Sus scrofa: one gene and its partners. The protein of the gene in region 1 binds, or shares a complex with, the protein of each later gene. Links are inferred from orthologs where the notes say so. Each region holds a gene or a part of one and is shown in the gene's direction. Other genes may lie near its edges.

Region 1 (3,567 bases):
AAAGCCTGTCTCCCCCGTGGCTGAGAATTCTGAGGTTCCCTCAATTGATTCCTGAGAGAAGGCGTAGGTATCAGCAACGCTGGCTTTTGTGCTCCCCTGACATAATTCCTTGTTCTCCTGGGGCGGGGTGGCGGGGGGCTCTTCTGAGGAAGGAGCAACATGGGGGCTTGTTTCTCTGTTTCCAGATGTTTCCTGAAACTTGGAGAGTGGCAGCTGAACCTTCAGGGGATCAACGAGAGCACGATCCCTAAAGTCCTGCAGTACTACAGCGCCGCCACGGAGCACGACCGTAGCTGGTACAAGGTAACCCAGAGGTGGAGCCGGCTGTGCTCCCGCCCCAGACACGAAGCCCCCTCAAAGCCCAGCACCTGCCAGCCTGCCTGTGCTCCCCGTGCGTTCGGGCTTTGCCGCAAAGCTGCGGGGCACTGGTCTGATACCGAGAATTTGCGTCTTTGAGTGGCCAGAGCCAGTGTGTCAGAGGCCCCTTCCAAGTCTGATGGGCGCGGAAAGATGGATAGACTTTGAGGAGGGCTCATTACCCCTGCGTAGGCGCCGGCCTGGGGCTGCTGTTCTCTTGTAGACTCTTAGCCGATTGTTTTCCTGGAGCATCTGGACACCCGGTGAGGCTCTGAAACATCTTCCCTCGGGTCGTCTGTTCCTTCCCAGCTCCCTTCTGATTTCCATCCCTGCCTGCTCCTCATCTGAGAGCTGAACTCTCTGTTTTCATTGGAAAGCTCTGGGTAACATCCTGTTAGGTCGCAGGAAATCTCTCAGGAAGATACACAGAACTGGAAAATGTACGAAGAAGTGACTGGCTGCTAGAGGGTGGTGCTTGGAAGTATGCGTCTGTGGTGAAAGCATCTCCTTTTCATTTTTTCTATCGGGCAGCCTCCTGTTAGTTCATAGCTGCTCAGTATGGCGGGTGTCATCCGTCCCTCTGGGATCAAAACCTGCATCTGCAGACCCCAAAAGCATCTGCAGTTACGTTCCTATCCTGGCTTCAGCGTGCTTCAGTCCACCGCAAAAATGCTCATCTTGTGAAAGCAGCAATAGTTAGCCTCTCTTCGAACAGCTCCCGTCCGGGGCTGGGAAGCTGTGTCCAGTGAACCCTTGCTTAGTGGGAACTTTTCTGGTTAGAACTATCTCCTAACCAGATCCCTTCTCTTCATTCAGCTTTTCAGAAAGAAACAAAACAAGAAAACACCGGCTCCAGAAATTTTAGTTTTCGTTTTCCCCTAGCACGGGCCCTGTTGGGTTTCCGCTGCCTTCCTCCCATCAGTGGTGTGCTGCAGCCCCAAGCACGGGCCGGGGCCCTTTCTGTGCGGTTCCCCATGACCCAGCTCAGTGCCTGGCACACAGCACACATGCAAGAGGTACTTGTTAAGTAAATAAAGGTAGGGGGAGTTACCACCGTGGCGCAACCAGATCGTTGGCGTCTCTAGAGCACCGGATGAGGGTTGGCTCCCTGTCCCTGCGCAGTGGGTTAAGGAGCTGGCATTACCGCAATTGCCAGCATAGGTCACAACTGTGGCTCAAATCCGATCCCTGGCCCAGGAACTCCACATGCCACAGGGCAGCCAATAAAGGAAGAAATATATATACATGGGAAAACCAAACCGCGGTCGTTGTGGAATTCTTATTTACCAAATAGAGGTCACTTACGATCACTCTGCTTAGGTGGGAAATGAACAGTCCTATGTTAAAGAAAGATTTTTAGCAAGGGACACGAAGGAATTTACTGATGATGCAGAAAGTCCAGCTGTGAGTGGCCTATTTAATGTCTTACTCTCACTGCAAACTTATAAGGTCCCAAATCTGACTCTTCCTCGTGCCCTGTACACCAGGCAGTGCTGTGCCACAGCGTCCCTGCAGCTCAGAACCTCAGAGCTGCGATCCGAGTTAGCCCCAAAGGCTTCTTGCAGCAATCGGTCACTGAGCGCTGGCTCTCTGACAGGCCCCGGCCAGGAGCAAGGGACCCACAGTGACCGAGACCCAACCCTCCCTGGTGGTTCTGTGCCCCCAGCCAGTCCCTGTCCAGCTGTCATCTGGCCTGGTTAAGACCTTCACCCTCTCTCCCTGTACCTCTGTTCGAATCATCTGTTTTATATCAGCTGCCAAAGGAATCTTTCTTATTTATTTATTTATGCTTTTTAGGGCCGCATCGTGGCATATGGAGGTTCCCAGGCTAGGAGTTGAATCAGAGCTACAGTTGCCAACCTGTGCCACAGCCACAGCAACAGCAGATCCCAACCGCATCTGTGACCTACACCACAGCTCACAGCAACTCCAGATCCTTAACCCACTGAGCAAGGCCAGGGATCGAAGCCGCTACCTCATGGTTCCTAGTCGGATTCATTTCTGCTGCGCCATGATGGGAACTCCCAGCCACCAAAGGAGTCTTTCAAAGCCAGCTTCAAACCCATCTGAAAAAGCTCTGCTTCCTACAGAATGAAGTGGCACCTCCTTGGCCTCACGTGCCAGCCCGTCCCTGCTCTGAGGCTACCGCTTTGCTAGGCTTGCCCTTCCCTGCTCTTGGGGACCCTGTACCCTAAGCTTCAGTCACACCTGACTGTTCCCTGTGCTTGCCCGCCCAGCACTCGGTCCCTGCTCTTCCTCTGCCGGGACACCCTCACTGCTGCCCTCCCTCTTCCCCCACCCCTGCCCACGGAAGGTTGCTCAGGCCCCCCCATCCCTCCTCCCTGTGACGCTTTCCCAGCCCCTGTCCCCTACTCGATTAGAAGGTCCCTGAGGCCAGGACCGTCACCTGCTCCTCTTCATGAGCTCCTGCCCCATGGCACCCACCACAGACCTGATCGAATCAATGCCCCACCAAATGAGTGAATCGCACTGGGTTTGGTAAAATGGCCCGTTCTCAAGGGTGCCATGGAAGCAAAGATTTGCTCTACTGACCGCTGAGAAGACAGGGCAGTCTGTGATCTTCCTCAGCTTTGGCCTGATGCTCAAGGCCCTTGATGCCCAGGGCTCCTTCCTGCCCCTACTATGGCCACAACTGCGCTGTCTGTCCTCTCGCCCCTGCCCCCAGGCCTGGCACGCGTGGGCAGTGATGAACTTCGAAGCTGTGCTCCATTACAAACATCAGAACCAAGCCCGCGACGAGAAGAAGAAGCTGCGCCACGCCAGCGGGGCCAACATCACTAACGCAGCCACCGCAGCCACCACAGCGGCCACCGCCACGGCCACCAGCACTGAGGGCAGCAACAGCGAGAGCGAGGCCGAGAGCACTGAGAACAGCCCCACCCCGTCTCCTCTGCAGAAGAAGGTCACTGAGGTACCCTCCCTTCCTCCTCCATGAGGGCCTGAGCCAGGCAGCAGGCGCTCTGCGGATGGAGCCCTCATGGGCTTATAGGAGCCCGGGCTCTGCCCGGATGAAGCTCGGAGACATGGCTCAGCCACCGTCCAGCACTGCGTGAGACGGTGCTTCTGTGCATACACTTGCCTTTGGGGAGCTGGTGGAGGCCGCGCTGAAAAACGAGGTCTTTGTCAGGCTTCCCACATGCGCAAACCCCTCCCCTGGTTCCTGCACGCGTGGGCCGGCTCTACACATCC
Region 2 (3,567 bases), on another chromosome or scaffold:
ATGAGCCAGTGCTGCTCTATTTTCATTACCATAGGTTTGTGGTTTCCACCCACCTGCCTCTGCAATTGCTGTTTTTTTCTCAGAAAGCATACTTTTTATCAGGATTATATTATATGTGTGTATTGATTTAGGATTAATTAATGGATACCCCCTATGACTCTGCGTATTCTTGCTGGAAACTGCGTGCAGGACACTCGTCCGCTGATTTAAGTCTTTTCTTTCTTGGGCGTATTTTAAGATTATCTTCAGATGGATCATCTACTTTTATTTTCTTAGGTTTATTCCTAGGAGTTTTGTTCTTTTGGTTGTTGTTACAGTTGAGGGTCTTTTTCCTCCATTTTACTTTCTAACTAGTTGTATTTTACACTGTGCCTCTTTTTTGTTTTGTTTTGTTTTGTTTTGTTTAGGGCTGCACCTGCAGCATATGGAAGTTCCCAGGCCGGGGGTCCAATCAGAGCTGGAGCTGCCAGCCTACGCCATGGCAACGCCAGATTCGAGCCGCATCTGCAGCCTACACCACAACTCACGGCAACACCGGATCCTTAACCCACTGAGTGAGGCCAGGGATCGAACCCGTAACCTCATGGTTCCTAGTCGGATTTGTTAACCACTGAGCCACGACTGGAACTCCTGGAATTTTGTTATTTAATCTGGGTGAAAATATGTCATTCTGTTAAGGCTTTGTTTTTCATCATCAACACTTAAATGAATTCAGCTTAATGAAAGTTGTACTAGTACTGAAACCAAAAGTTTTAGTTTGCATGTGTAGTAAGATCTGTGATGTTGAAATGCTGTCATCTCGTTAATAATGTATAATAGCAAAGCTGATAGTAAAAGCTTTTCTTTGATTTTTTTTTTTTTTTTTTTTTTTTTTGTAAGATACTTAGGGCAGCGATTCCGAGTCAGCATAACCATACTGGAATTGCAGAGTTAACAGGGACGGTTACATGATGGTGGTGGCTTTGCCGTAATTTTTCTCTAATAGCACTTGGGATGTGTGGTATGTTAACAGTTATGTTTCAGCTGAGGGTGAAATGTGTGTACCACACAGGGGCACTCTTGAATACTGAGTTGACATTAGAAATTTCTATATGCTGTAATAATTCTGTATCTAAAGCAGCGGGGTTTTTCATAAAGCTGTATAAAACTGGTACTCATATGCTGTTGCATCATAGATACCTTTCTTTTTAATCCCTAAAGTTGCTCAATAAATAGTTGGTTTGATCCTAAGAAGCCTGAGTCTACTGCCTGAGTCTAGTGTCTTGTTTCTCTTCTCTCCTCCTCTTCAAATGCTCGTGGCAACCCAACAGTGACTGGGGCTAGGCCCTCATGGCTCAGTGCAGGAAATACAGATTGATGGACCAAACCCGGAGCACTCGTGCATCTCCTGTGAGGGCTAAGAGACACTGGACTGTCGCCTGTAAGAGATGTGATGGTGCTTTTCCCTTGGTCCAAGACCACGGAGCCTGTGGTCTTGTCATCCCTCCGTCCCTCCAGGAGCTACTACGGACAGTAGCCTTCCCTCCGGAGTCTGAGACTAGCCAGAGTCACTCTCTGTACTGGCTTAAAGCCTGCGATTGCCCCCACACCAGTCTTTAATCAATCTTGGGTGTATGGGCTGTGTTTCTAAAGAAGGTATTAATCTACTTTTTGTTTGCTTTGAGTTCTCTGATGAGGTGACATGTGAGAAACTTGGGGCAAAGGGTACTGGTTATGCTCTGTGAACACTCTGCTCACATGTGATCGTGTTTCTTCCGCAGGATGAATATTCCATCTTCCCTCAGACATACTCCATAGATATTAACGGTTATATCCTCGTGTATTCTGTTACATCAATCAAAAGGTAAGACTCCCTTCTCCTGCTTGCCTGAGTGTGCTTGCTGGGCATAGATAGCATCAGCCCTCCAAGGGATGACGCTGTCCTTGCTGGTACCTACGGCTGGACTTGCATGATTTCGAGGGGTTGTCTTGTGGAGCAAGCAGGTCGTTACGGGGAAAAACGATCCCAGAAGGTGTTCTCACACTGACGGCAGGAAACCTCTGCCTCTTGCCTCAGGCTGCCTAGATAGGTAATGATTGAACACCATCTGAGCTTGGCTGCTCATTGAAATGGAAAACGCACTAATTGATTTACTCTGGGTCTGTTTTCACCATGTCAGTGTGGAGCACAGACCGCGTGTGCGTAGAGCCTTCGCGTTTAGGAACGGTCCACAAATGCTTATTCAGAGATTCAGTCAGCCTAGACTTTCCTATTTGAATATCGCCCCTGCTCCACTTGGAGTAGTGTCAGTAAGGGTACTGAGTGTCGAATACACACACGAGGGAAAGAGTGGTGAGAGACCGTAAAGGAATTGCTTGTGTTCGGTTTATAGGAAAACAGTGAGTCTGACAGCTTCAGTTTTTCCCACTATACACATGACATAACAAACGCTTTAAAGCATCACTAAAATGAATGTCTAATTTCATGCTTTTTGTTTTATAGTTTTGAAGTGATTAAAGTCATCCATGGCAAATTGTTGGACATGGTGGGGAAAGTGCAGTAAGTAATAATGGTTTCGCTCTTTTGATAGATGTACTCAGAACAGTATCTCGGGAACAATCAAATCAGGCACTGATCTGTGTCCTTTGGCTTTTTTTCCCCTTGTATTAATAGAATACCTATTATGTTGGTCGGGAATAAGAAAGACCTACATATGGAAAGGTATGTAGCTTCTAAATAATTACTGATTTATAAAGTCAGGTCTAAGATGACTTAGTCACTGAAGTTCCATTTTTAATTATTGTTCTTAAAGCAAGAATATTTTTAGTGGTAGCATATCTGTGTTTGGGGGTTCAGAAATGGGGCGGTGTTTGTGCGGAGCAGAAGCAGAACTTCAGTGAAGATCTCACGCACCTTGGAAAGGGTTTCCTCTAAAAAAGAGCAAGCACGATAGGACAGTTGTCTTTGGATTCTTATTCTTGTACCATTTTGCATAACGCAGATTCTAAAAAGACAATGGTAGCACTCATTTTATTCAACAGATAGTTTCGGAGAGTGCCAGGCTTAGGGCTCAGAGCGATGGACCAGGAGCCAGGGGCCCCATTCCCTGGAGCCGAGCATCTCGGGAGGAAGAGAGCCGCTGGCCGAGTGCCCACAGCCCGTGCACAGCAGGGCTCAGCTGTGGCCCTTTCAGAGATGCCCGTCTCTGGGTGCTCACAGCCTCGCTGACCATGAAAGAGTCAATTGTGACGGGTACCAGAGTGCCCGGGTCCTGTTCCCCGAACTTCCAGAGCTCTTGCTGGAGCGCAGGGAACCCCGTGGGGCGGCGTCTGCTCTGTTCCCCAGCTCAGGGGTAACGGAACCGCTCCTCTGCCCTACGTCCTGCAGGATAGCCTTGAGCAGAGCTTGCTTCTGCTTCCTAAGAAACTGGCGAAAGTGGAGCCTGTGTCCCAAGTCAAGTCACAGGTGTTTGATGTAATAAAGAGCCGAGTCCTTGAAGTGAGATGTTCTCCTTCCTTTAGGGTGATCAGTTATGAAGAAGGGAAAGCATTAGCAGAATCTTGGAATGCAGCTTTTTTGGAATCTTC
Region 3 (2,891 bases), on another chromosome or scaffold:
CACTACAAAAATCTTTCAGATAAAAGCATGCCTTTACCCATCCTTCATGTGAGAGGTAAGAAGAAAACTTTGAAAAGGGGGGAAGTTAAGCTTAGGCAGTACTGACCACAGCAGTTGCAAAATGGAGATGAAAAAAAAAGCTGATGGTCAGCTGCACTGAATCAGGTTGTCATGCTAGGGCCCATTTATTGTTTTACTTAAAACATCAAACGTTTATAACCAGAACACCTATTTAAATGAAGTTATGAGAACCGTTACTGTGTTATGCTTTGTACTGTTAAGTCCTAAAATATTTTTCAGTCATATCCAGAACCCAAAGTATTTTATAAAACATCTTGAAACAAAAGGTTTAGTTGAAAATAACTACAACCTGATTATACCAAGTTGCTGTATCAAACTGAGCTATTTTGCTACTTTTATAACTAACTGGCTTACTGGTAAATTTGTTCTAGTCAGCTATATATGTAATTTCCCACATGTGACAGATCTATCTCTATCCTTTGTGCTTTACGTGGTTGTTATGTTTCAACAATATCTTAAGAGTTTCAGACTGAGTACTTGTTATCTATAAAAATAAATGCTGAAGTTTATCCCTTGATATAAAAGTATAACAGATTTATGATCATTCTAGTTGTTTCCATAATGAATGACGTTAGTTTACAAAAGTGCTTTTTTACATTATATCATTTTGAAGAGTTCACATATTTACACTAAAAATTGTTTAATATGTCTAATTTTTTTATTGAGGAAATAAAAGAAAGATTTAGGGACTTAAGCAGGGACATTACTTTAGAACACAGTGAAATCTTATAACAGAATGCTTTTTTGTATGTGATTTTGCATGTATTTTTTGTAAAATATCATTAGTTTTGATTTTAAGTTCTTGCCTTTAGTGGGATGAAGCACTCCTAACTATGAGTAAAGGAGAAAAGGCTCGACTGGAGATTGAACCAGAATGGGCTTATGGAAAGAAAGGACAGCCTGATGCCAAGTATCCTTTTTCCCTTTATAATTAAAGGAAAAACACTAAGATTACTTGAAGTACCAGGTAGTTAACCTCTTTTTTAATCTTTTTTCCTTCCTATTTAAGTTCTTAATTTTCAAGACCTAAACTGAGATTTAAGTTTCTATCTTTGAAAGGCTACTCTTAATGTTTGAAAGGTTACTTCAAGGAGTTAAGATGTTCAATACAAACAAATGTAGCAAATTGTAGGATTCAAATATGATTCAGGGTAATTTTATGCTACATTATAATTTCAGGTAATTAGTTGGGTACTCAAAGCTTAGAAATGGAACACATGTTCGTTACTAGTTATGAAATGAAGAAGACCACAGGCCCAACATCATAGGGTTAGTATTTGTGATTGTACACTGACAATACTGTTCTAAGAGACCCAACCTGTAAACAAAAGAGCCATGACTCTAATACAACCAAAACAATCCAAAACCTAAGTGGGAAGGTAGTTTTTTGCTGTTGGTTCTATTCTCAGTGGACTAGTTTGGGGGTTGGGGGGCATCCTTTCTAGTCGTATCAGTTAAAATTACTTGTGCGTGTAATAGCCTTCTCAGCCTGTCAAGATCATATTGGCCAACTGTAGCTCCTTCTCTCACTTCAAGTACCTCAAGACCAATAAAATAAAAATCACTCTTTGAACTCAACATGTGAAAATTCACAGCAAATATCAGGTACTATGTTGCATGAACTTTGATTTAATATAACTTATATACCCAGCTAGATTGAAATCACTTTTTTGTTCTTTGAAGTACTAAGTAGCAGTCTTCACCAAGTAGTGGCGAATTTAGGAGTACCAGAGAGGCATCCAAATAGGGAAGATCCAAATTCAAGTTCAACTTACCTAGTCAGCCTGTACTGACAGATTATGACCTACATTCACAAAAATAGTTTTTGGAACCTCTAGGTTAGTATGTATTAGTCTCTGAATCGTCGTAAAGTTACTTACCAATATCCAATGTACATAATTCTAATTTTAGATTAAATTTTATTGGGAGTGAGGCAAGAGGCAGCTTTTATCAAATCTACCTTGACTCCTTCAACAGAATTCCACCAAATGCAAAACTTATTTTTGAAGTGGAATTAGTGGATATTGACTGAGACAGTAAAGAACAGCAACAATAAAACTGACCTTGAGAAAATTTATGTATCTTATTACAGCTGGTTACTATAAGGAAAGAGTCAACTGGAAAATTCAAGAAGTTACAGCTTGTTTACTTGATGCTCAACCTTTAAGAAATGTAATCTGTTATAAATCCTTTAAGTTTAAAATATTTTACTACAGCTGTGTAAAATATTGCCTAAAGAGAACCGGTTTTCCTTTTACCCCGTATGGTAAACTAAAAGGCTCAATAAAAATTTATTCAATCTCTAGATCTGTGTGGTATAAATGTATTAATGTTCTGATTAGGTTAACCAAGGAGTTAAGACTTCATCCAACCAGGGAGTAACAGTAAAATTGTCTGGACAGTGTTGCCAGAGATACTCATCTTAAAATCTTTACGTATTTCCGTATAGGGAAGGCAAAAGCAGAGAGTGAGAAAAAGCGAAAGGTTAAAAGGTCTAAGAAATTTTGTCAAGATAATAGCTAAATTCAAGAAAAATACACTTCAAAACCAACAAACCATTGAAGGTAAATATTAAGTTAGTATTATTAGGTGATCGCCACAAATAAATTCATAACAATTACTAGATGAGTCTTCAGTTTTATTACAAAAATGAAGATGATCAGTTTGATCAAAATGAAAGCTTGCTCACAAGTTTTACATGAATATTCCAAATACAAAGTCTCCTGAAACAACATAGTTTTGATAAGACTTTCATTTTTTAAGGGGATGCAAACATTCCATTTCCTCACTTATAATCTCTATTCCAAGAC

The links.
Region 2: the proteins of MTOR (region 1) and RHEB are in contact, whole or in part, in a cryo-EM structure (PDB 6BCU), measured with the Homo sapiens proteins. The link is inferred for Sus scrofa from reciprocal best matches to the Homo sapiens genes MTOR and RHEB. Residues at the interface, in NP_001373429.1 of Homo sapiens: Arg62, His69, Glu73, Ala101, Thr102, Ile104, Gly105, Arg106, Asn109, Tyr110, Arg112, Asn113, Phe140, Glu143, Tyr144, Phe147, Glu154, Arg160, Thr969, Gln973, Phe977, Lys980, Glu1010, Phe1011, Gln1014, Met1018, Ser1050, Thr1051, Asn1264, Lys1293; in NP_005605.1 of Homo sapiens: Lys5, Ser6, Arg7, Lys8, Arg15, Pro37, Ile39, Glu40, Thr42, Gln57, Ala62, Asp65, Tyr67, Ile69, Gln72, Thr73, Ser75, Ile76, Asp77, Asn79, Asp105, Met106, Val107, Gly108, Lys109, Val110, Ile112.
Region 3: the proteins of MTOR (region 1) and FKBP3 are in contact, whole or in part, in a crystal structure (PDB 5GPG), measured with the Homo sapiens proteins. The link is inferred for Sus scrofa from reciprocal best matches to the Homo sapiens genes MTOR and FKBP3. Residues at the interface, in NP_001373429.1 of Homo sapiens: Glu2032, Tyr2038, Phe2039, Gly2040, Arg2042, Tyr2088, Val2094, Leu2097, Tyr2105, His2106, Arg2109; in NP_002004.1 of Homo sapiens: Lys160, Pro161, Leu162, Ser163, Lys170, Tyr198, Lys201, Gly202, Gln203, Pro204, Asp205, Ala206.

What each region holds. Positions count from the first base shown.
Region 1 is NC_010448.4:71,308,380-71,311,946, reverse strand, and holds part of MTOR (serine/threonine-protein kinase mTOR), read left to right. Parts: intron 1-185; coding exon 186-303; intron 304-3,043; coding exon 3,044-3,289; intron 3,290-3,567. UniProt on the Homo sapiens protein: Serine/threonine protein kinase which is a central regulator of cellular metabolism, growth and survival in response to hormones, growth factors, nutrients, energy and stress signals.
Region 2 is NC_010460.4:5,813,877-5,817,443, forward strand, and holds part of RHEB (GTP-binding protein Rheb), read left to right. Parts: intron 1-1,760; coding exon 1,761-1,843; intron 1,844-2,482; coding exon 2,483-2,539; intron 2,540-2,653; coding exon 2,654-2,701; intron 2,702-3,501; coding exon 3,502-3,567. UniProt on the Homo sapiens protein: Small GTPase that acts as an allosteric activator of the canonical mTORC1 complex, an evolutionarily conserved central nutrient sensor that stimulates anabolic reactions and macromolecule biosynthesis to promote cellular biomass generation and growth.
Region 3 is NC_010443.5:175,317,053-175,319,943, reverse strand, and holds the end of FKBP3 (peptidyl-prolyl cis-trans isomerase FKBP3), read left to right. Parts: intron 1-893; coding exon 894-991; intron 992-2,058; coding exon 2,059-2,113; 3' UTR 2,114-2,386; downstream 2,387-2,891. UniProt on the Homo sapiens protein: FK506- and rapamycin-binding proteins (FKBPs) constitute a family of receptors for the two immunosuppressants which inhibit T-cell proliferation by arresting two distinct cytoplasmic signal transmission pathways. PPIases accelerate the folding of proteins.